2 linked regions of the Anolis sagrei genome follow. The protein of the gene in region 1 purifies or fractionates together with the protein of each later gene. This does not show direct contact. Links are inferred from orthologs where the notes say so. Each region holds a gene or a part of one and is shown in the gene's direction. Other genes may lie near its edges.

Region 1 (11,131 bases):
ATGGCACAAATCAGTGGGGGATTTTGAAGAAAGGTGGTTCTCCACATTTTGCTCTTCCTCACAGACAATATGAGGGTAATGGCATACATGAGGCCTGAACAACTGACTTTGGTAATCAGTGGGTGGCTGTCATGTGAGAGGTTTTCAATAGCAGAGCAACATAGCTTCATCTTTCTGTTATTGTATTATTCATTTATTTATATAGCACCATGTATTAGGCTTTCAATGCCAGAGCAACATAGTTTCTTGCTATTATTATTATTTGAAACACAACAAGATGAGTCCACAGCAGACAAGATCACTCCACTGGCTGTTGTATTGGATCACACGTTGGGCATTTCCCAAGTGTCTAGGACTGTGATGAATCAGCAAATAATGAGTGCAGATCCCAGTAAGGTGGCCTTCTGCAGCTGGCAGGTGGTAATTTTGTCAGCGTTGATTGCGTTTAAGTGCAGGTCAAGGTCTTTAGCCACTGCACCCAGTGAGCAGATCACCCCTGGGACCACATTTTCTAGTTTGTGCCGGAGTCTTTGCAGTTCGATTTTTAAATAATGATATCGTGTCAGCTTTTCCAGTTGTTTCTCTGCAATCCTGCTGTCACCTGGGATTGCGACATTGACGATCCATACTTTGTTTTTTAACACGATTGTGAGGTCAGGAGTATCATGCTCCAAAACTCTGTCTGTCTGAATCCGGAAGTCCCAGAGGAGTTTGGCGTGTTCATTCTCTGTAACTTTTTCCGGCCTGTGATCCCACCAGTTCTTTGTCGCAGGCAGATGGCATTTGTGGCACAAGGTGCAATGAATCATCTGAGCAACAGTGTTATGTGTCTGCTTGTAGTCTGTCTGTGCGATCTTCTTGCAGCAGCTGAGGATGTGATCTATTGTTTCATATGCTTCCTTGCAGAGTCTACATTTGGGATCTGTTATCTGCTTTTCAATTCTGGCTTTGATGGCATTGGTTCAAATGGCTTGTTCTTGGGTTGCCAGAATCAGGCCCTCCATCTCCTTTTTCAGAGTTCCATTTGTGAGCTACAGCCATGTTTTTTCTTTGTCAATTTGGCTCTCAATTTTTCCCAGGAACTGTCCATGGATTGCCTTCTTTTGCCAGTTTTTTGTTGTATTCATATACCACTATATTTTGGGCTTTTAACTCCAGAGCAACATAATTTCATCTATGTGATATAGTTCTCAGGCTATTTAACAGTATGTTAAGAAGTAGTTATATTTATACAATCTTACAATTACAAATGACCCTTTGAAGGCAACCATAAGGCTGATGTGGCCCTCCGTGAAAATGAGTTTGACATCCTGACCTAGAGTGTTGAACAACAAGGTGTAACATCCAGAGTCAGATCCACATTTACCCATGAGGCTCGGTGCAGGAACTTGGGACAGGTACTATTTTTGCTCCATAAGGTGGTTGTTAGTATAAAACCACTGGAGGAAAGACCATGCATATTATCTTTGAGGTACAGGATGGAAAGGGTGGAAACACAGGTACAGTATGCTATACATACCATATTATTAGTCATAGTTCTTCCATAAGGATAAATATTCAATCTTCTTCCCACATTTTAGTTAGCTTTTGAAGGTGTGTCACATACATATAAATATATAGATTCCCCCCTTTTTCCTCTCAGAAGGAATGGAACAGGAAAAAAGAGCCATCTGTCCTCCGGATACTCTTCCAAATGAGCATTTGGTGTTTCTCTCAGAATGAAAATTGGGAGAGGAGCATCCCCATTTATTCAAATGTACTTCGTTAGATCTCCCGCTTGTGGCTGCAACAATCCCACCCACATCCACATTCTCAAGATTACATCAGAACACTGGCAAATATTCTAAATTCCTGGAGGATGTCAAATCACACTGCAGGGAGATTAAATGATAGAAAACTACTCACGTGCTAAAATGATCATGTGAGTATCTGCAAACTGATTGTCAGTTTGAGCAGAGGAAAAAAAATATATCATATACACAAAGAGAACAAAATAACGGGACAATTAACAAGTCAGTTGGCTCCTCAGAAGACCCACAGACGAGTATATTTTCAGTTGTGAAAACTTGGTCATGTCATGGTCAATGGAGTATACCCCATCACTAGCTATCCTAGTTTAATACTACCATTTTTAGAAAGTATTTCAACACAGCTGAGTTCCAGTTAAATGCATTTATACGCCTCTTATCTCTTTCATAATACACAGAATGAAGGAATCAATATTCCTTTGTGGCTTGAGGTCATGTATAGACAGGTAAATAAGATTCCTGTCTGGCCATTCTGATACACTATGTCATATTTTCAATCCCATCAGGAAATGTGCGCCTCTAGCCATCCAAAACAATCGAGCAAGAGAACAGGCTTCCTACTTGGCGGTATTTCAAGAAAAGCCTGGATATTCATGTCCAACTATAAAAGCCAAATTGGATGTAATGGTAGCAGCAGCCCTATGTATCAGGACTGAGTCACTCCCTACCAAACCCCTACAAAGCAGGAAGTGTAGTCAAGAAGCTTCAAAGTGCGGCATCACTATGCTTTCTGCCCTGAAATATGTAGTATTTTTAGCCATTTATTTCCCTGCGAGACTCTTTGATTGGATATAGATCCTGCTGTGAGAAAAATAGCAAAATAAACAAAACAAAACAAGAGGAAATTGCAGGCAGAAGAAGGGGATGGCTTTCCAAGTCCCGTAATGTATTCTGAATTTCCTCCCCCGCACCCCTGCAGCGTTTCCTCTCCTGGAGCATGCTATTTTTAAATCTATTCTAAAATCACAACACTATGTATGTTTACTTAGAAGTCCCATTGAGTTTGAGCAGGACTGGATCTTTGCAACACCATCTGATGTATGTTTACTTAGAAAAAAAGAAGCCCACAGTAAGCAGATCCAAAGAAAAGCAGCAATCCCAGGCATCTTGGGGGTTGTTCTAAGTAGGGTTGGCTGTGGGTTTGTGTGTTCAGCCCCTAGGACTGTTGAATTTATAATTCAGAACAACAAAAGCAGAAGTTATTTACAGAATAATAAATGAACACAGCATTTCATGGACAAAAAAAAAATAGATTGAGCTTTACATCTTCAAAGTGTAGAAACGGCTGTTACAAGGAGAGGCTACTGTAGAGAAAGAAAGGAAAGACTGTTAACCATGATGAAAGCATAGACAGTAATAAAATGTAATTATATATTTGGGCTTCCATAAACTATAATCACATTTTCTGAATTATAATATTATCCAAATTGCAGATTGAATATTCTTTCTCTAAAGTGTAATACAGGTTGAGTATCCTTTATTCACAAGGCTTTGGGCCAGAAGTGTTTGGATTTTGGAATATTTACATAATGAGATATTTTGGAAAGAAGACCCAACTTGAAACCTGAAATACATGTATGGTTCATATACACAAGGCATGTGCAAACTTAGGCCCTCCAGGTGTTTTGGAGTTAAACTCTCACAATTAGGAGAGTTAGGAATTGTTGAAGTCCAAAACATCTGGAGGGCTGAAGTTTGCCCATGCCTGATATACACCTGCTACATATACAGTCTGAAGGTCACTTTATACACAATACTTCTAATAATGTTGTGCATGAAACAAAGTTTGTGAACACTGAACCACCAGAAAGTAAAGGTGTCACTATCTCATGCAGTTGTGTGGACCATTTTGGATATTTTGGATTTCCGGGTGAGGAATGTTCAGCTTGTAACAGAATGAAGATCCCTTTGTGGAAATGGGGAACAGCTCAAACTAGAATAAATGCAGATATGCCAATACTTGACTCCACTTCAACTGCCATGGCTTCAATACTATGGGATCCTGGTAGCTGTAGTTTTGCAAGATCTTTTGCTTTCTTTGCCAGGGTGCTGGGGACTTACCAATTATACATCCCAGAATTCCATAGCATTGGGCCAGGGCAACTGAAGTTATGCCAAACTGCATTAATAATTTATTTCAGATATTTGCACCTGACTCTTCTCAACCCTCAGTGTATAGATGTACCTTGTGTTAGTCTCTACAGTGCCACAGAACACTTTGGATGCATCATTATATACTGTAGAATTAACAGTTTGGCACTGCTTTAACTGCCATGGCTCAATGCTATGATGACATTGAACACCATGGCTCAATACTATGGTGCAATGTAGCTCGGTGACATAGCAGCACATTTTGTAAGGCTACATACAGACTTTATACACCCACAAATCCCAGGATTCCACAGCACTGAGCCAAATACAACACTTAGGAGCACCATCTGTTCATTTAGGGCCCTTCCAAGCAGGCCCCATATCCCATGATCCGATCCGTTTCTTTATCCCAGATTATCTGGTAGTGCGAACTCATATAAACAAAAAACCCGGGATCAGATCCTGGGATATATAGCCTTTCTGGAGGCCCAAGGGCCAGATGCAGCCCTCCAAGGTCATTTACCCAGTCCTCGCTCAGGGTAAATTTGAGTTTGTTATTGTGTGCTTTCAAGTTTGAAACTACTTGAAAGCACACAATAACAACAATCCTATCTCATCAGCCAAAAGCAGGCCAACACTTTCCATTGAAATACTAATAGGTTTATATTTGTTAAAATTGTTCTTCATTTTAAGTATTGTATTGTTTTTACATGTTTTTTGCACTACAAATAAGATATGTGCAGTGTGCATAGGAATTCATTCATGTTTTTTTCAAACTATAATCCGGCCCTCAATAGTTTGAGGGACTGTGACCTGGCCCTCTGTTTAAAGTTTGAGGACCCCTACCCTAAACCTTACCCTAACCCCTAAGCCTAACCCTACCCCAAACCCTTCCCTCCTTTCTATCCTTCCACCAAACTGAAGTATATTCCCGCCCTCAGTGAGCCGCTCACCCCTTCCCTTATTCACAAACGTAAGCGTAACCCTAACCCAAACCCTAAACTTTGCCCTAGCCTTACCCTAAGTGCCCCCGCCTTTCTATACTTTCTTCGCTCTCCACGCTCTCCCTCTGCCCCCTCTATTTCCTTATTCACAAACGCCATTGCGGAATGTGCGTAACGCCTGGCACTCCCGGACCCAGCTATCATACTATCACCAAAGTAACTGCGCCCTACACCACTGGAGAAATTACACTGTTTAGCCGGTATTGCACCACTTGACATCCACCAGGAAGTAGCAGCCAATAGTGAAAGGACCAAGGCAGTGACATCTCCAGCTCATCCCATTTGGATGTCAGCCAGCACGTCAACGACGTAAATCAAGAAATAGCTTTCTAAGATCTACAGAGACGCTTGCTGGAACACCTCAGCAAGCGAGAGTCCAAAAGTGGCAGGCTCAAACCCAGAACCTCAATCAATGGCTGATACCAAATGAGAGACTCCCCCCTGGGCACACAGAAGACTGGGTGACTTGGAAGGCGCTGAACAGACTGCGCTCTGGCACCACGAGATGCAGAGCGAACCTTAAGAAATGGGGCTACAAAGTGGAATCCACGACATGCGAGTGTGGAGAAGAGCAAACTACAGACCACCTACTGCAATACAACCTGAGCCCTGCCACATGCACAATGGAGGATCTTCTTGCAGCGACACCAGAGGCACTCCAAGTGGCCAGATACTGGTCAAAGGACATCTAATCAACTACCAATCTTGCAAACTTGTGTTTTGTTTGTTTGTTAAAAAATAAACATATGCAACTGTTTGGTCTGCCCCTGACACGATAAATAAATAACCCCTAAGCGTAACCCTAAACTTTGCCTTAGCCCTTACCCTTAGCGCCCCCTCCTTTCTATCCTTTCTTCGCTCTCCACGTTCTCCCTCCGCCCCTTTTCTTCCCTTATTCACGAACGCCGTTACGAAATGTGCGCTTCCGGACACAGCTATCATACTATCCCCAAAGTAACAAAGGCCGAAAGTAATAGAACTGAAGGCCTCCCTCCAGAACGGAAACCACTTCCTGAGGAGGAGGAGGAGGAGGAGGAGGAGGGAGAGGAGGACGACTCCAATGACTTTTTTTTTCCAACTGCGAACTGTCGTCACGGCTTGGAAGCGGGCGGCGGCGATTGGGGGAGGCGAAGGGTTCACTCCACTGAACTGACGCGGGGAAGGCGCGCGCCAGGAATGACGCGCGGGACCGGCTGGGCTTTGTCGCGAGGCAGGGAGCCCCTCCCTTCTCCTTCTCTCTTCCCGGCTCTCTCTTCCCCCTCCCACGCCTGTCGCAACCAGATTAACTCTCCAGCCCCCTCCTCTCCTAAGCCACGCCCTCTTTTAAAAACTACCTGCCGCCGCCTCTGATTGGTCCGCCTTGGGATGACGCCATCCCCCTTCGTTTTGACAGGCAGGTACGGCTCGGGCGCCGCCATATTGGGAGCGGAAGCGGGCTGAGCGGCAGAAGCGGCGCTGCTGGTTGTTCACCCTCCGGCTTGGAAAGTCCTGCGCTCCCTCCGCGAGGGAAGGAAGGAAGGAAGGAAGGAAGGAAGGAAGGAAGGAAGGAAGGAAGGAAGGAAGGAAGGAAGGAAAGCAGGGAAAAGGAAGGGAGCGTGTTCCGCCCGTCTCCTCCCCGCGGCGGGGAGGAGGAAGGAGCCCGACCCTGAGCCGAAGTGGGACTCTGAGGAAAAGCAGGCGGCGGAAGAAGAGGAGGAGGAGGAAGAAGCGGAAAAAGAAGGGAGGAAGGGACGCTTCAGGTTAAGGGGCCACCATGCCGTTGGCGCAGCTGGCCGACCCCTGGCAGAAGATGGCCGTGGAGAACGCGGCGGAAAGCGGCAACAGCGCCGAGGTAGAGTTTCCCTCAGGAAGCGGGGCAACTCGGGAGAGAGAAGGGGGGTATGTGTGGAAAAGGTTTGGGGCAGGCATGGGCAAACTTGGGCCTTCCCTCCAGGTGTTTTGGACTTCAACTCCCACCATTCCTCACAGCCTCAGGACCCTTCCTTTCCCCCCTCAGCCGCTTAGCGTAATTAAAAATTACGGCTGAGGGGGGAAAGGAAGGGTCCTGAGGCTGTGAGGAATGGTGGGAGTTGAAGTCCAAAACACCTGGAAGGAAGGCCAAAGTTTACCCATGCCTGTTTTGGGGAGAGGTGCCGCACCCCACGTTCAGGTTTTTTTATCTCAACTACTCAACTTTAAGGAAGTGTCCTTGTCCTTATCTGGGACCTGAAGTGTTTTTGATCTAGCATATTATTTGGATATTCCTAATGAGATGACAGGGAATTGGCATATGTTTCAAACACACTGTAGATACATAGCCTGAAGGTGGTACATAACATTTTTAATTACATTGCACATAAAACAGAGTTTGTGGAAGTGAAGGTCACTTATCCTTGTCTGAAACACTTGGGACTTTAAAGTGTTTTTGATTTTTGATTCCCCTTCATTTTTTGAATGAATTTGCATTTATTCATGTGTTTACCATATATACTTGAGAATAAGCCGACCCGAGTATAATCCGAGGCACCTAATTTTACCACCAAAAAATGGGAAAACTTACTGACTCGAGTATAAGTCGAGGGTGGGAAATGCAGCAGCTACCGGTAATACAAAATAAATATAGATACCAATAAAATTACATTAATTGAGGAAACAGTAGGTGAAATGTTTTTGAATATTTACATAAAACTGTAATTTAAGATAAGACTGTCCAACTCTGATTAAACCATGATACCAACCTTTTTCAGTGTAAATATATTTGTACATCTTTCCAAGAATAATAGAGTAAAATAGTAAATGTAATAATAACAGTAATAGAGTAAAACAATAAATGTAATAATAACAATAGAGTAAAATAATAAATGTAATTAGAGTATAATAATAATAATAATAATAATAATAATAGAATTAAATAATAAATAATCTTGACTCGAGTATAAGCCAAATGGGATTTTTCAGCCTAAAAAAAGGGCTGAAAAACTAGGCTTATACTCGAGTATATACAGTATTTATTTATTTGCCGTATTTATACCCCACCTTTCTCTATCCCAGCAGGGTCTCAAGGCGGCATACAATGGCACATACACAGTGCCTCAAAACAACAAATTCACCTAAAAATAGTTTAGATATACATAATGAGACACCTTGGAAAGGAGGCCCAAATCTAAACAGGGAATTAACTTGTGTTTCATGTGCACCTTATATTCATACCCTGAAGGTTATACGTAACTTTCTTAAATGTATTGCACATAACACAAAGTTTGTGGAAGTGAAGATGGCACTGGGTTGCTGTGAGTTTTCCAGGCTGTATGGCCATGTTCCAGAAGCATTATCTCCTGACGTTTCGCCCACATCTGTGAGAATGTTTCACCGCATCCTGAAGATGCCTGCCATAAATGAGAATGAAGCATCAGGGGAGAATGCTTCTGGAACATACAGCCCAGAAAACTCATATCAACCCAGGATTTCAGAAAGCCCTTTATTTAAAATGTAAAATGATAACTAACAGTGATAAGGTTTCTGTGAGTGTTCTGGGCTGTATGACCATGCTCCAGAAGCATTCTCACCTGAAGTTTCACCTGCATCTATGGCAGGCATCCTCAGAAGTTGTGAGGTTTGTTGGAAACTAGGCAGGGGAGGTGTATATATATCTGTGGAATGTCCAGGATGGGAGAAAGAACTCATATTTGTTTGAGGCAAGTGTGAACCTGAAGCGTTTTTTGATTGAGGTGACACACACACCAGATTTTGGAATATTTGAGATATCTTGGAAATGGGTATATCTAAACAGGAAATTAACATATGTTTCATATCCATAGCCTGACGGTAAGTTTAAACACATTTTTGTATTAATTTGTGTTTTAAGTTTGAACCATCAGAAAGTTAAGTTGTCACTAATTCAGTCACCTGTATGGGCAATTTTGGAGTGTTTCAGATTTCCGAATAAGGAATACTCAATCTGTACTTTGAGAGTTGGGAAGAAGCATCGAAGGGCCACCCTTATGCCTAGTGCTTTGGTTTCTTCCTATCTGAAGCCTGTTTTGCCATCGACTCCTGTCTATCTCCACTTTCCCACCCCCAATTCAATTACTCTTAAGTCAAAGTACTCATCCATTACCTTTACCATTGTGTGTCTTTAGGACTCACTCTCTCTACCTGACAACTTTTAGGGATAACATTTTCTGATTTCTATAAATAGTAATGAATTTGATAAGTCCTTTCAGGTGTTACAAGACTAGTCTTTGTTATTGATGCTACAGACTAATATCATGTCCCACACCCCAATGCTTTTACTCTTTCCCTCTTGAGGCAGGCAGGTGGAGAAAGCGGAAGGGTGGTTTCACAATCCAGTTCTGCTTTTAGACATTATTAGCGTTTTAATCTCCCATCTCACACAACAGACGAATAGATAAATCTCTTTGCTCTATGTGTTCAGAGTCCACAGCATGATTTTGAGTGCACAGATTTCATCCCCTCTCATCTTGTTTGGTGTGTTTGCCTGAAAGTGGTAAAAAAAGAGAGAGAATACCTTGGATTACAATGTGACTCCTGGTCAAGTGAAGGTCTGTGGCTGGAGGAAAAAAAGGGAGGAGGATGGGACTTTCCTCCAGTGATTCATATTACAACAGATCTGAAGGAGGAGTAGTTTTGGGTTTCCTGGGATATCCCATCTCTCAGCCTCCCCAACATCTATTTGAAGCTAATAGTATTCTGTTTATGTACACTTGAAGAGAGATGCTGTCAAATGGTTAGTGCCAACTCCAGTGTTGTAGCTTTTGTTCACGTTGTTAGTGTTTGGTTACTTTCATTTTATATATCTTTTCCCTGCTCCCCCAGATTTTGCTCAGATGGTCAACTTCCTCTATGCACACATTCTAACTGGGAGGAGGAATTATGAACATGAAAGTTAGTTGCCCCCCCCCCCTTTTTTTAAAGGGAAATCCTTACTTCCTGCTACTTTAAGGAAGGCACAAGCATAGGAAGTTGTGATCATTGTTTGACATGTTCCTTTCTAGTTCTCACTTCCTAACTTATTCTTTATTTAATACATCTGTTATTGTGGCATGATTAAGTTGGGATAGTCACCCTTCATGATTTACTTTCAGAATATACTTCTGAGAAAACCCTCAGATCAGATGCTCTATAAATGCTTTAAAGTGTAATGAATTACTGATAATTAAAGCTCCCTAAATTCAAAACATGTTTAAACCACTTAATTCATAGCAAATAATTAAATTCCATTCTGTTTCCATTAATAACACTTTAATTACTAAATTCTGTAGAAAACATTTCATTTTTGTCTTTGAAGTATTACAGTGATGAAACGATTTAATATCTTGTGTACAAACTGCACATCACAAGAGTCACTTAAAAAAAAACCTAAAAATGCATCTTTGCATGAAGTCGTAGGGTGTAAGTGCAGTGTTAGAAAAATCCTTATGACATGTAATGCATGTTATATGCAACATATACAGCAGCATCTCCCAACATAGATCTTCTAGATGTTTTGGTCTATAGCTACCTCTGCTAGCAAGACCAAGTCAGTGGTAGTGGGAGATGTAGTCCAAAACATATGGAGAATAGTACCAGACTAGAAAAAGCTTCTTTAGGGTGCAATAAGGTTTTATGTAGATCCTCAAGGTAAGCATAAATCAACAGTGTAATTCATTGCTAAGAGGTTAATGCAGTGCTAGAGTCTTCATTAAAACAGAAGTAATGTTGGCATGTTCTGGGTATCATAGTTTAAGAAAGATATTGACAAATAGGTCAATATACCTGGGTTGAGAGGGCTAGAGACCAGCTCTTACGAGTAAATGTTTCAGAAATTGGATAGATTTAGCCTGAAGAAGAAATGGTTGAGATTACAGTCATCTTAAAATATTTGAAGGGCTGTCACATAAATGATGGCGGAAATGTATTTTCTGAAGCTCCTGGCTGTAGGACTTTAACAGTGAGTTCAAATTATGAAGAAAAGGATGTGAATAAAACATTATGAACAACTTTCTTATGGTATTTATTTATTGTGTCAGAAGCAAATTGAGGATCCAGTTAAAATGCATTTTTTAAAAAGTTTTTAAAAGAACTCTGCATTATGCTAAATGTTCTTTGACTAGAAACTGGCCACTTGGAGTGCCTCTGGTGTCCCTGTGAGAAGGTCCTCTATTGTGCATGTGGTAGGACTCAGTTTCTTATGGTACAAGATGATCAGTAGTGGAATATACTGCCTTGTAAGGTAATGGACCCTTTGTT
Region 2 (11,472 bases), about 110 Mb from region 1:
TCAGTCCATTAGCTTGTTATTTCTGTCTCCCCTTCATAATATCTTCCCATATCTTTGCAGGGAAGAAGACAAGGACATGTCATATGGCTCCTTGAAGACCATGTACCCTTTCTTCTTCCCTCAGCTTAACAATTCAAGATAGTCCTTTAATTGGCCATATCTATGACGAATAATAGAAGTTACATGTAGCATGAAATATCTTTGTGCTGCAAAGTCACATTCCCAGTCATGGAGGTGAGGCCACAATCATGGACCTGAAAGCATTCTGAAGATGAACATAACCCATAGTTAATAGTTTAATACAGACTACTTGTTACTGGCTTGACTTGAAGGAACTGGGGGTGGCCACAGCCACAGTGAGCTCTGGCATGGGCTGGTCCATGAGGTCACAAAGAGCTGGAACAAATAAACAACAACTAGGTATACAAACGGAGACAATAAATTTTTGTACAGTTTACTCATGGTCAACCCTTTCCTTATGGAAAAAACACACACATAGCTCTTTCTTTACAAGGTTTTCACAATAGAGTTTATGCAGTTTGCCCACATTATGAAGTCCCAAGTCATGTGAACACCTCACATAACTTGGGACTTCATAATATGGGCAAAATTACCCATCCTACAATAGTTTCACCTAACTTCAGGGGCAGCCAGGCAAATCCCATCAGATGGCGTAGATCTACTTCCGGTAGGGCTCCGTCCTTGAAGTGAGGTGAAACTGTCGTAAGAAGCAGCAATAAGAATACAGTACGCTTCCTATGTTCTCATTGAGAAGATCAGGGGGAAGCTGAATGGCAATGCTTCACCCACATATGGGATGAGGTAAGGGGTGATGGATTCCTTCCACCCCCCTCCCCTGAAGAATTTACCATGATCCATGGAGAATCCCTCCTCTATCATCCACAATTTTGATCTCAATGTGATGAGGTCCTTAGCAGCTATGCTGTTGACTAACTGAGAAAGTGGCATCAATTTCCTTATGCATCATAAGTGTCTCATGACCTGAATGATGGTGGGTTTTTCCCCACATCACCTTGAGGATGGGCCCCACTAAGCTTAGTCTAGTTTGTAAATTTTTCCACTTTGTATTATATTGTGCACACAGCCAGGTATTTTACAACTGAGAAACCCCCCAATGTTCCTGCTGAGAGACATGGAATACAATGGAAATTAGAAACATGATATCCTATCACCATGTAAGCGTGTCTGAGTTTAAGATCATTGGGAGACGACTTTCTCCAGGTTCCACTTCTTTCATCAATATATTTGGTGAGGACATAGGAGACAACATTCTTGGTGGCAACTTGCAGGCTGTGGAAATCTCTCCCATAGCAGACTAAGCTGACGTCTTCCTTATTGTACTTCTAGTTTTTATATGAACATGTATATGATAATTAAGTGACTACACAGTCACCAGCAGTTGGTTTAACCATATGACTGGCACCATTTTGAAACTGTACCTATCATGGGAAGTGTTATGCCACTTTATGCATACTTAAGCCGTCCTGAGTCCCCCTTCGGGGGTCGAGAAGAGACAGGGTAGAAATACCGGAAATAGCTACATAGCAGATGGTCTAAAAAACTCTATGAATGAATTTCGATGATACGTAACAGGACACCAGCAAGAGTGCCCAAATATGAATGTGGCTCTACTAATACACATTGGCACTTCCTAGCCAATGTTCCAATGCACAATAGGACAAATGCATATTGGTTCCCATTGTGAATTAGTCTAATGAACATTGGTAACTTTGCTGGATCCCCTACATTGTAATTTAAGAGCAGCCTTTAATGAATACGCATTGCGGAACTGCCAGATTTTAATCCCTGTAGATAAAGTGCAGTTATGAAAATTTACGTCTCCAGCAGGACTCTGGCCATTATGTTCAGGTTTGATGAGACCAATAACAATACCCAATAACTACTGTTGGATGAAAAGCAGAAGTGAACTGTGCTGTGGCTTCAAAGAACAATATGTCTGAGAAGGAAGGAAAGAAACATACAACTGAAGAAAAGCTGAAAGTTAAGGAGCCGGGAGTGATTTATTCATTCATCTCTTGCAATTTTAGACCACCCAAAACCCAGGCCTTTCTTAGTTCTGTGCAGTAAATTAAAAACATAAAAGACAAACAATAAACAATGACAAACACATAATACACTCAGCCACAAAGCATAAAAGTATGCACCATATGATATAAAAGGAAAATAAAACTGGAAAGGAAAACAAAGGTGCGAAGCACTAAACACACTAATAACAGTTATTGAAATCTGGACATTTAATTTTAAACTGAATACACTAGATGAGCAGAAACCAATGAAGTAACTGGAACATGGAATTTCGCATTAAGAACAGAAGATAAAATTTCATATGGTTAAGAAAATTTCATATGGTCAAGAAACAGGAGATGTCAAGGAGTAGAAGCCCCTCGGATCCTTGACTAGTGCCTGCTGTGATAGGTTGGATGAGGACTAACAAACTGAAGCTTAATCCCGACAAAATAAAGGTCCTCCAGGTCAGTCGTGGGGCCGATTGGGATATAGGGTGGCAACCTGTGCTCAACAAGGTTACACTCTCCCTTAGGACACAGGTCTGCAGTTTGGGGGTCCTTCTGGACTTGGCTTTAATGCTTGATGCTCAGGTGTCAGTGGTGGCTGGGAGGGCCTTTGCGCTTCCCAAGTGTCTAGGACTGTGTGATGTATCGGCGAATAATGCATGCAGATCCCAGTAAGGTGGCCTTCTGTAGCTGGCAGATAGTAACTTTGTCAGCGCTGATTGTGTTTAAGTGCAGGCCGAGGTCTTTAGGCACTGCACCCAGTGTGCCGATCACCACTGGGACCACCTTTACTGGTTTGTAGAGTCTTTGCAGTTCAATTTTTAAATCCTCATATTGTGTCAGCTTTTCCAGTTGTTTCTCTGCAATCCTGCTGTCACCTGAGATTTAGACATCGATGATCCATACTTTATTTTTTAACATGGTTGTGAGGTCAGGAGTATTATGCTCCAAAACTCTGTCTGTCTGAATCCGGAAGTCCCAGAGGAGTTTGGCGTGTTCATTCTCTGTAACTTTTTCCGGCTTGTGATCCCATCAGTTCTTTGTCACAAGCAGATGGTATTTTGTGGTACAAGTTCCAATTAATCATCTGAGCAAAGGTGTTATGCCTCTGCTTGTAGTCTATCTGCGCGATCTTCTTGCAGCAGCTGAGGATGTGATCTATTGTTTCATCTGCTTCCTTGCAGAGTCTACATTTGGGATCTGTTATTGTTGTTTTTGTTTTTGTTTTTAAGCTATTATTATTGTTGTTGTTGTTGTTATTAATATTATTATTATATCTGGAAACATCATAAATTGTATTCAAACTTAAGTTTTTCTTATGGAGTTTAACCTAAGGAGTCCGATTCTGATATCAGTTTTGGTGGATTAAATCATCTTCATGTCGAAAATGTTGATTAGACATCAGCAACTTGGTCGCTTCCACTATGTTGGTTATTGCTGCTATTGCAATGTAAATTGGTGGAAAGGTAGGTAATGATGGTGTGAATAAAATAGCAAAATCTGGTTGAGATAGTGCTTGCAGTTCAGGAGGAACTCTAATTTTTGCTTCTCTTAGACTTAGCATAGGGACTTGATTATCCAGTTAAAATAACGAGTTAACCAGTTTTTTTTTAACCTGAAAGGTTTCAGGATGTATGTGTTTGGACCTGAAAAGTTTCAGGATGTGTGTGTTTGAACCTGAAAAGTTTCAGGATGTGTGTGTTTGAACCCATACCAACCCCCCACCCCCAGCTACAGGCTTGCATCAAATTAATATTCCTTTCACATGGCTGCAAGAATGAAGAATACAGACTCCTGAGAAAATGACTGCCTGCAATTTTTGGGTTGCTAAAAGAACTTGCTTGAAGCCACAATGCCTCTTGGAAGGCAATGGGATAATATTTCAGTCTTGGAGCTCTGACACATGTTGTGACAGCCTGTGGCAGACATGCCAAGAGCTTCATTCCATAAATCACATTTCGAGAAAAGGAGGCCTCTGTGCTCAGTAGCAGCAGCAGCAGTACAGCATAGACCGTTTCTCCTTTCTCTTGGCTCCTTTGCTCGGATGGGGGTGGAGAGAGCCTTAACCTTCCGCTCGTAGGACCAACGGAGAAAGAACATTGCATACAAGAGTCCCAGCTCTTGCTTTGTTAAACGAAATGAAGGCCATGTAAAGACTTCCTTTAAAAAAAGTTCTATAGTAGTGTTGCAAACATGGAGATTCAGTAGAATTCTGTTTTCATTTACTTTTTTGGCAGCACTTTTCAAGTCTCTTCCCTCTGCCTCCCCCCTATAGACTAGGTCCATTAATATGGGATGGAAACAAGAATAAACGTGTGTGTGTGCACACACACATGTATGTAGAGTATAAGAAACAGCACTTTTAACTTCTACCATGACTTTTATCTGCCATTGGGGGAGGTGTGTGTGTGTGGTGATGGATTTGAAGAAAAAAATACATTCCCAGAGTATAGTATACAAAATCTTCTTTCCCTTCATGGTGTGAAGTTCTAAAATATTTCCATTGTCCTGTGAAGGTTACTTACACCACAAATATATTTGAGTAACCTTTATAATGCTTGGATTCAAAATTCTGCAGCTATGGCTTACATGTGTCCTCCAAGCTCTGATTCGCTATTTCCATTGCTCTCTTCCCCCAAATATCGGATGGTCCACTACCTGGCAGTGAAATCAAGCTAATATTTATTTCCATGCTGTTTCCTGAGAACTAGTACTCAGGATAGTTTATGAATATTAAAACTGTTACAGATAAATATGTGTAGTATAGATTTTAAAAGGGGATCCAGAACATCTAGGTGATTTATTTATTTATTTATTTACTTTGCTTTGCAGTTTCTCAGCCCGTAGGCGACTCAATGCGGTTCACAACAAGAGCAAAAGTCAATCATAACAACATACAATTTGATGAGTGTATAATACAGCCACAACAGATTGAATACTATTTATCTGACCAGAAGAGCCACCTTCTAACAGTAGCTCAATGGTTGTCTCTTTTCACTCACCGTGTATGTGTCCTCACATAGTACACGCTTGGGGTCAGTCACATCTTCTCTGCTGCTCACCAGAAAATATTTGGGTTACAGATGTATAGGATTGGATTGATCATATTAATGAGCAAAGATAAGGATTTCCTAAAATCCCCTTGATTAATCAATTTCAAGAAGGGGACCAATACTAAAAGTGTGCTTACTGATTTACATGTGATCACATGATCAAATCAGACATTGATTTGGAGTCATTATTGATTTCCCCACCCTAGATTGTTTCCCCGAAGTGAACAAAGAGCTTCAGAGTTCAATCTGTCATATTTGTTTGAACTGATATGATCTGAGATTTATATGAAACCCTAATTTACTCCAAGCAAGGAAGGTTTGGAATGTATCTTATTGACACCTAGGAGCTCATCAGATTGAGGTCCAGAAGCTGGGAGACAGTGGAGGAAACTGTGGGAGAGCAGGAGAAATTGTGGGGCAGTGAGGGAAACCATGAGGGCAGTCCCCTTATCATCCCATGACATTTCCCAGCTGTCCCTGGTTTCCGCCTGTGCTGTCTGTAGCTTCTTCAATGAGGATACAGGTGACCTCAGGCCAGCCTCTGAGCACACAGCCGGGATGGAGCGAAGATGGAGCGCTGCTAGAAGTAGTCCTGATGGGCTCATATGACAAATAGTCATATGATGGGCTCCGTCAGGCTCCATCACAGCTCCGTCATGGCAACGTGCTAGGATGGGGGAAAAACCCATTTGATGAGGTCCCTAGTCTTGGGGGTTTCAATAATACATGTATAAATACTGGTAAATATACTATTAGATACAAAATATGGGCAGCACATTTATTGAATTCCAGGCCTATCAGGTATTTTCAAATCATGTTAGCTGTTATATATGTTATCAGACATAGTTCTTATAGACTGTCATTGCTGTTTCACAACTTACATCCTGTTTTCAAGCTGTGCTTTTTAATTAATGACCAAAAGTGAACATTTTAAAAAGTTGTAGAGCTATCATCCATAGACTGGAAATGGAGTTCATGCTATTTCCTGCTTTAGGAAAATGGCCTATGAGAATTTGAATAAAGGCTAGTGTTATTAAGGAGTGTATAATGGATGGAATCCTATTAGAGACTCACATCATCATAAAGAAATTATTAATTGTGCAATTGCATCTCCATATCCAGTAGAGGACTGCTTTTATGTTATTACACGCCCCAGTTTGATGCACAAGGGTATCTGATATGTAGCTAGGGATAAATGACATTATATAATGTCAAGTCATAAAGGATTCTGATGAATGTCCAAGTAATGACAGGCAAAGCCTAGAATATTGTGTCCATCTTCACTGTTTGCATCCCAACCACTCAATGTGATATTTTTGTGGCTGTGCAGCAATCACAAATATGTGAAGAAAAGACTGAGTTGCATTTTCTAACATCTGGATTATTAGTTGCCGAGTACACATAAAACTCAGAATGCCTGCACCAGATGCATCTTCAGATAAATTATCTGAATCCTGCATACTGAGTAACAATTCTGCATTTACCATGAACAAATATGACTCTGTCTTGTTCCGGAATGCACTGTTGCTCTCTGCATCATAAGGCACTCAGTGAGTTAACTTTGCATTGTGATATCATTTTCTGAGTTCCAAGCCTCTGCCTCTGTGTAAGAATGCCACCCACATGATAGGGGAGAGCTGTCAAGCTGAAACATGCAGAAGGTACTTAGACACACCTATTCAAGCACCGCTTCACCTATTCTTGAAGTGTCTCGTGTTCCTGAAACCTCCACATGTTGAACGGAGACGCCGAAACCAGGTACAGTAGAATTTACGAACAATTTGAAAACAAATAGGCTTTGTACTCAAGAGTAGAAGTGAACCCTATAAGAACATTATTACATGTTTCTTTAATGGTATTTTTGGGTGTATGTGTGGGAAATTATCTATGTAGTACAAGGGAAGTAACTCTTGGCAACTGCACGTTGCTTCTGGATGCCTTTGTGTTGTAAACTGGTGTTGTTATTTTACTATTGCTTCTACAGCTGTGTGCCTGGTTTGTGTTTACTGTGGAGGGGTAGTACAAGGAGCATGTTGGTTTCTTGCTAAGAATACATTAGGAACTATCTTAAAACTGATGAAGCAGTTTGGATCTGGGACTGAGGACAGGCAAACACTACCTTGCACCTTTCCCAACTTGTTGTATGTTTGTTTTTGAATATGCATTCCTGTAAGTTTTGGCTCTTTCTTCACTGCTTTGTGTATGGACACTATTTAGTTTCATACAGAACTTAGAAGACTTGCTCAAGATTGGCTCTATACTACAAAAAAGTACATGTGGTATCAAGTCGGTAGCTGCTAACCTTTTGTATGTCCAATTACCCATCTAATTAGAATAAACACTATGGGCCACTTTTGATAAAGCTTTATCTGTGTGCACACAACAACAGGCAAATGCAAACACATTCACTCACACAATGATATCGTGTCACATTTGTTTCACCTAAAAATACTGAATTAGACTACATTCGATTTCCAGTATTATTGAGATATTAAAAGTTGATTTGATCCTTTAAAGTCTTGTTTCACACAAATCCCCACTGATGACAAAAGGCACATATCTAATGAATGATGAATATATAACATAACTTTCTTATGGAAGCATGTTTCCTAATATTCATTATTTCTGCAGAGCCTTTTCCAGTAAAATGCCCTACCAGGTCTTTAAGTTAAGTATTAGTATTTTTATATACTACCAATCTAATAACTTGTAAGCCAATCTTATACCATTTACAAATAACTTGTATGCCACTCTGAATCCCCTTCAGGGTGAGAAGGGCGACATATAAATGTCATAAATAAATATAAATAAATAAATAAATAAATAAATAAATAAATAATAGATATTCAAATACATGTATAGGGAAAAAATCTTTAGACCAATGGTGTCAAACTTGTGGCCTTCAACTTCAGCTCCCAGAATTCTTGACCATTGGACAAGTTGGCTGGGCCTTCTAGGAGATGGAGTCACAAACACCTAGAGACACACAAGTTTGACACTTCTGTGCCTTGCCCATGGATCATATCTGGCCTGTGGGTCAGTGGACAACGTCCATCCCTTACATGTCTTCTGCTCTTTCCCTTTGGCCAGTGGTTCTCAGCCTATGGGTCCCCAGATGTTTTGGCCTTCAACTCCCAGAAATCCTAACAGCTGGTAAACTAGCTGGGATTTCAGGAGGTTGTAGGCCAAATCACCTGGGGACCCACAGGTTGAGAACCACTGTATTAGAGAGAGAAAAACTCAGTGTGAAGAGAGAGTAGGCAACAAAGGGGGCATAGAAAAATGGAGCATTTCAAAATACTATTTCCTATACAATTTTGGAGAAACAGATCTTAAGTTAGATCAGGCTTTGAAATCTCTGCTTGGCCATGAAACCCACTGGGGGACCTTGGGCAAGTCACATTCTCTCGTCCTCAGAAGAAGGCAATGGCAAATCTCTTCACAAGAAATCTTGCAAAGAAAATGCTGTGATAATTTTACCTTAGGCTCACCATAGGTTGAAACGACTTGAAGGCAGACAGGAACAAATATTGATTCTGATCTTGGATGGGGAAAAGAAACACGGTTATCTGTTTTCACCCAGTAAATATGAAACCTAATTCCCCAGGTGATCCATCTGTTATGTATTTTCAATGTGGCATACCCGATTCACCTCCCATACAATTCTCACAACAAGTTTCTATACGGTTCTGGCCCAGCTTACTTGTCCGAATGCATCCACCCCTACGTCTCACCTCGTAATCTAAGATCATCCGGGGAGGCCCTGCTCTTGCTCCCGTCAACAGCACAGATGCGTCTGGCGGGGACAAGAGACAGGGCCTTCTCGGCTGTGGCCCCCCGCCTATGGAACACACTCCCAAATGAGGTAAGATCCACTCCCTCCCACCTGGCTTTTGGAAAAAAATTAAAATCATGGTTTTGAGACCAGGCCTTCAGGCAGTAGAAGTAAATGCATGCAGCATTTCAGAAAAACAATGACTGGAATGGCGATTTGTTGTATGACACTGTTTTATTGTTTTAATGATTGTTTTATTGCTTGTGGATGTACTTTTAAAACTTGATTTATGTCCAGTTGTAGTGTATAATTGTAATTGTTTGTACTGGCATTGAATTTTGCCATTACTTATGTGTAAACCCTCGGGGTGAGAAAAGCGGTATACAAATACTATAAATAAATAAATAAATAAATAATTGGGAAGGAAGTGAGTCTCATGGGTGAGTGGGACTTTGTATCTGGCTCATTCTACTCCCAGCCTGACAATCTAACAAAACCTTGCTGAGTTTTCAATCATGATCTTAAGCCCTTTTTGTTTTGACCTGACCTCTGTGTGACTTTTCCCATTTCTTTGTCCTGGAATATAATTTAAGCAATAATAGGGAGAAACCCATTGCATCTTCTGCTGTGTTTTAATATGATTATACTGTATGATTTGATTTTCAATTTATGATGTTGTTAACTGCTTGGAGCACTTGATTTCGAAAAGGAATGGAACGAGAATATTTAAAAACATCTCAAAATAAATAGCATGGCTTGCCAAAGTGTGAGGTTTACCAAGCTCTTAGAGGGCTAGCATACATGGCTGGTCTCTCTGTGTACACAAGTTATGTCCATTTGCTGTTGCCTAAGTTATATACAGTGAACATGTCTGTCTGGAGAGAACCTTTCTCTGAGTATTTAATTTGTAGAAAAGACATCTTGGTGACGGGAGATCTCACAGTCCTGTGCAGAAAACAACAAGGTCAGATGGCTGAGGCAACTTTTAGTGAAAACTTTTAATGCATTGTTTCCTCTGAGACTCCCTGAGCCTTTATGGCTCCTTTAAAATGGAATTTGCAGCCCTGAAAGGCAGAGGGATTTATTTTTATTGTGAACATATTTTCCTACTGAAAAATTGTCCATATGTTTAAGCATTTGATGAATGCTACAGTACTTAATACTGTTTGCTATAATTTGGGGTTGTTGCATGTCCCCCCCCCCTCTTTTGAGTAAGTACACAGTATGTGTGTTGTTCATATTAGCTACATGTAACTATTCTCTCATCCAGATGTTAATACTCATGCTAACTGCTCCAAAGTAAAGCTTTTGCCAATAGAATAAGCAATGTCTTAACAATGGCAATTGGTTTTCTTTTCTTTAAATTGTGAAATGCATTGTGCTGATTTAGATTTGATATAAAGGAGGGTTGGGGAATCTCTCCCTCATTGTTTTTGCTTACAACTCCCATTAGCTTCAACCATCATAGTTAATAAGAAATAAGAAATGGTAGGGGGTAAAATGTAAAACATTTTGAGGTTCTCCAGTCTAAGAATAGAATGGAACTCAAAAAAGCATGGCCATGGAAGAGATATTTCTAGGATGTCTATGGGTGATAAAAACAACAACAGCCAAGTAGTAATTATTAAATGAATTCCAATTCTGTCACTTTATGGGTCATGAATGGAGAGTCTAAAAAGATGAAAAAGTGCTCATCTCCTAATATTTAATGCTGAGCACTATGAAGCAAGGGTTCCCACAATGATCTGGTAGAGGCAATGCATGTGCAATGGATTAGCATTGGAAATACCACCTTGCAGATTTCACTGACCTGAACTGGGAAGCAAAAAATGCATGATTACAACAGCTCCACTGGCTGCCAGTCTGTTTCCAGGCACAATTCAAAGTGCTAGTCATGAACTATAAAGCCCTGTATGGCTCAGGCCCAAGCTATTTGGCAGATTGTATCTCCTGATACAAACCTGCCTGGGTCCTTGGGAGAGGCCCTTCTTTTGGTCCTACCACCATCGCAAGACTTACTGAAATCAAGATATGCTACAAACATGGGACTCTTATCAAACAAAGAGATAAAGTTCTTCTGGCATTAACTTGTTTTCAAGAAACCCATATTGACTTTTTGTGAGCATGGCATTCCTTTCTAAGTGCTTGCAGATTGTCTCTGGCTGGATCTACATTGCCAAATAATTCAGAATGCAGATTAACTGCACTGAAATGGATTATATGAGCCTACACTGTATATAATCCAGTTCAATGAAGTTAATCTGCATTCTGAAATTGCATTATATGGCAGTATGGATCCAGTCTCCAGTGATATGCTCCAGAAACCTTCCTGATGCTGATGTCAGGCTGAGTGGACAGTAATTATTTGGATCCTCTTTCCCAGTCTTTTTGAAGATAAGGACAACATTGGACTTCTTCCAGTCTGCTGGAACTTCTCCTGTTCTCCAGGACTTCTCGAAGATGATTGCTAGTGGTTCTGAAATTCCCTCTGTCAGTTCTTTTGAAACTTGGATGTGATTCATCTGGTCTTGGAGACTTTTATTCCAAGACCAGATGCCTCTTTACCTATTTTGTGCTTTACTTATTCTGT

What was found.
Region 2: the proteins of RPS6KA3 (region 1) and FGFR2 purify together in Homo sapiens (affinity purification with mass spectrometry; 3 studies listed by BioGRID and IntAct, counting the BioPlex papers as one, with this or other methods). This does not show direct contact. The link is inferred for Anolis sagrei from reciprocal best matches to the Homo sapiens genes RPS6KA3 and FGFR2.

The regions. Positions count from the first base shown.
Region 1 is NC_090023.1:88,380,567-88,391,697, forward strand, and holds the start of RPS6KA3 (ribosomal protein S6 kinase alpha-3), read left to right. Parts: upstream 1-6,295; 5' UTR 6,296-6,656; coding exon 6,657-6,734; intron 6,735-11,131. UniProt on the Homo sapiens protein: Serine/threonine-protein kinase that acts downstream of ERK (MAPK1/ERK2 and MAPK3/ERK1) signaling and mediates mitogenic and stress-induced activation of the transcription factors CREB1, ETV1/ER81 and NR4A1/NUR77, regulates translation through RPS6 and EIF4B phosphorylation, and mediates cellular proliferation, survival, and differentiation by modulating mTOR signaling and repressing pro-apoptotic function of BAD and DAPK1.
Region 2 is NC_090023.1:200,544,249-200,555,720, forward strand, and holds the start of FGFR2 (fibroblast growth factor receptor 2), read left to right. Parts: upstream 1-6,758; 5' UTR 6,759-6,865; intron 6,866-11,472. UniProt on the Homo sapiens protein: Tyrosine-protein kinase that acts as a cell-surface receptor for fibroblast growth factors and plays an essential role in the regulation of cell proliferation, differentiation, migration and apoptosis, and in the regulation of embryonic development.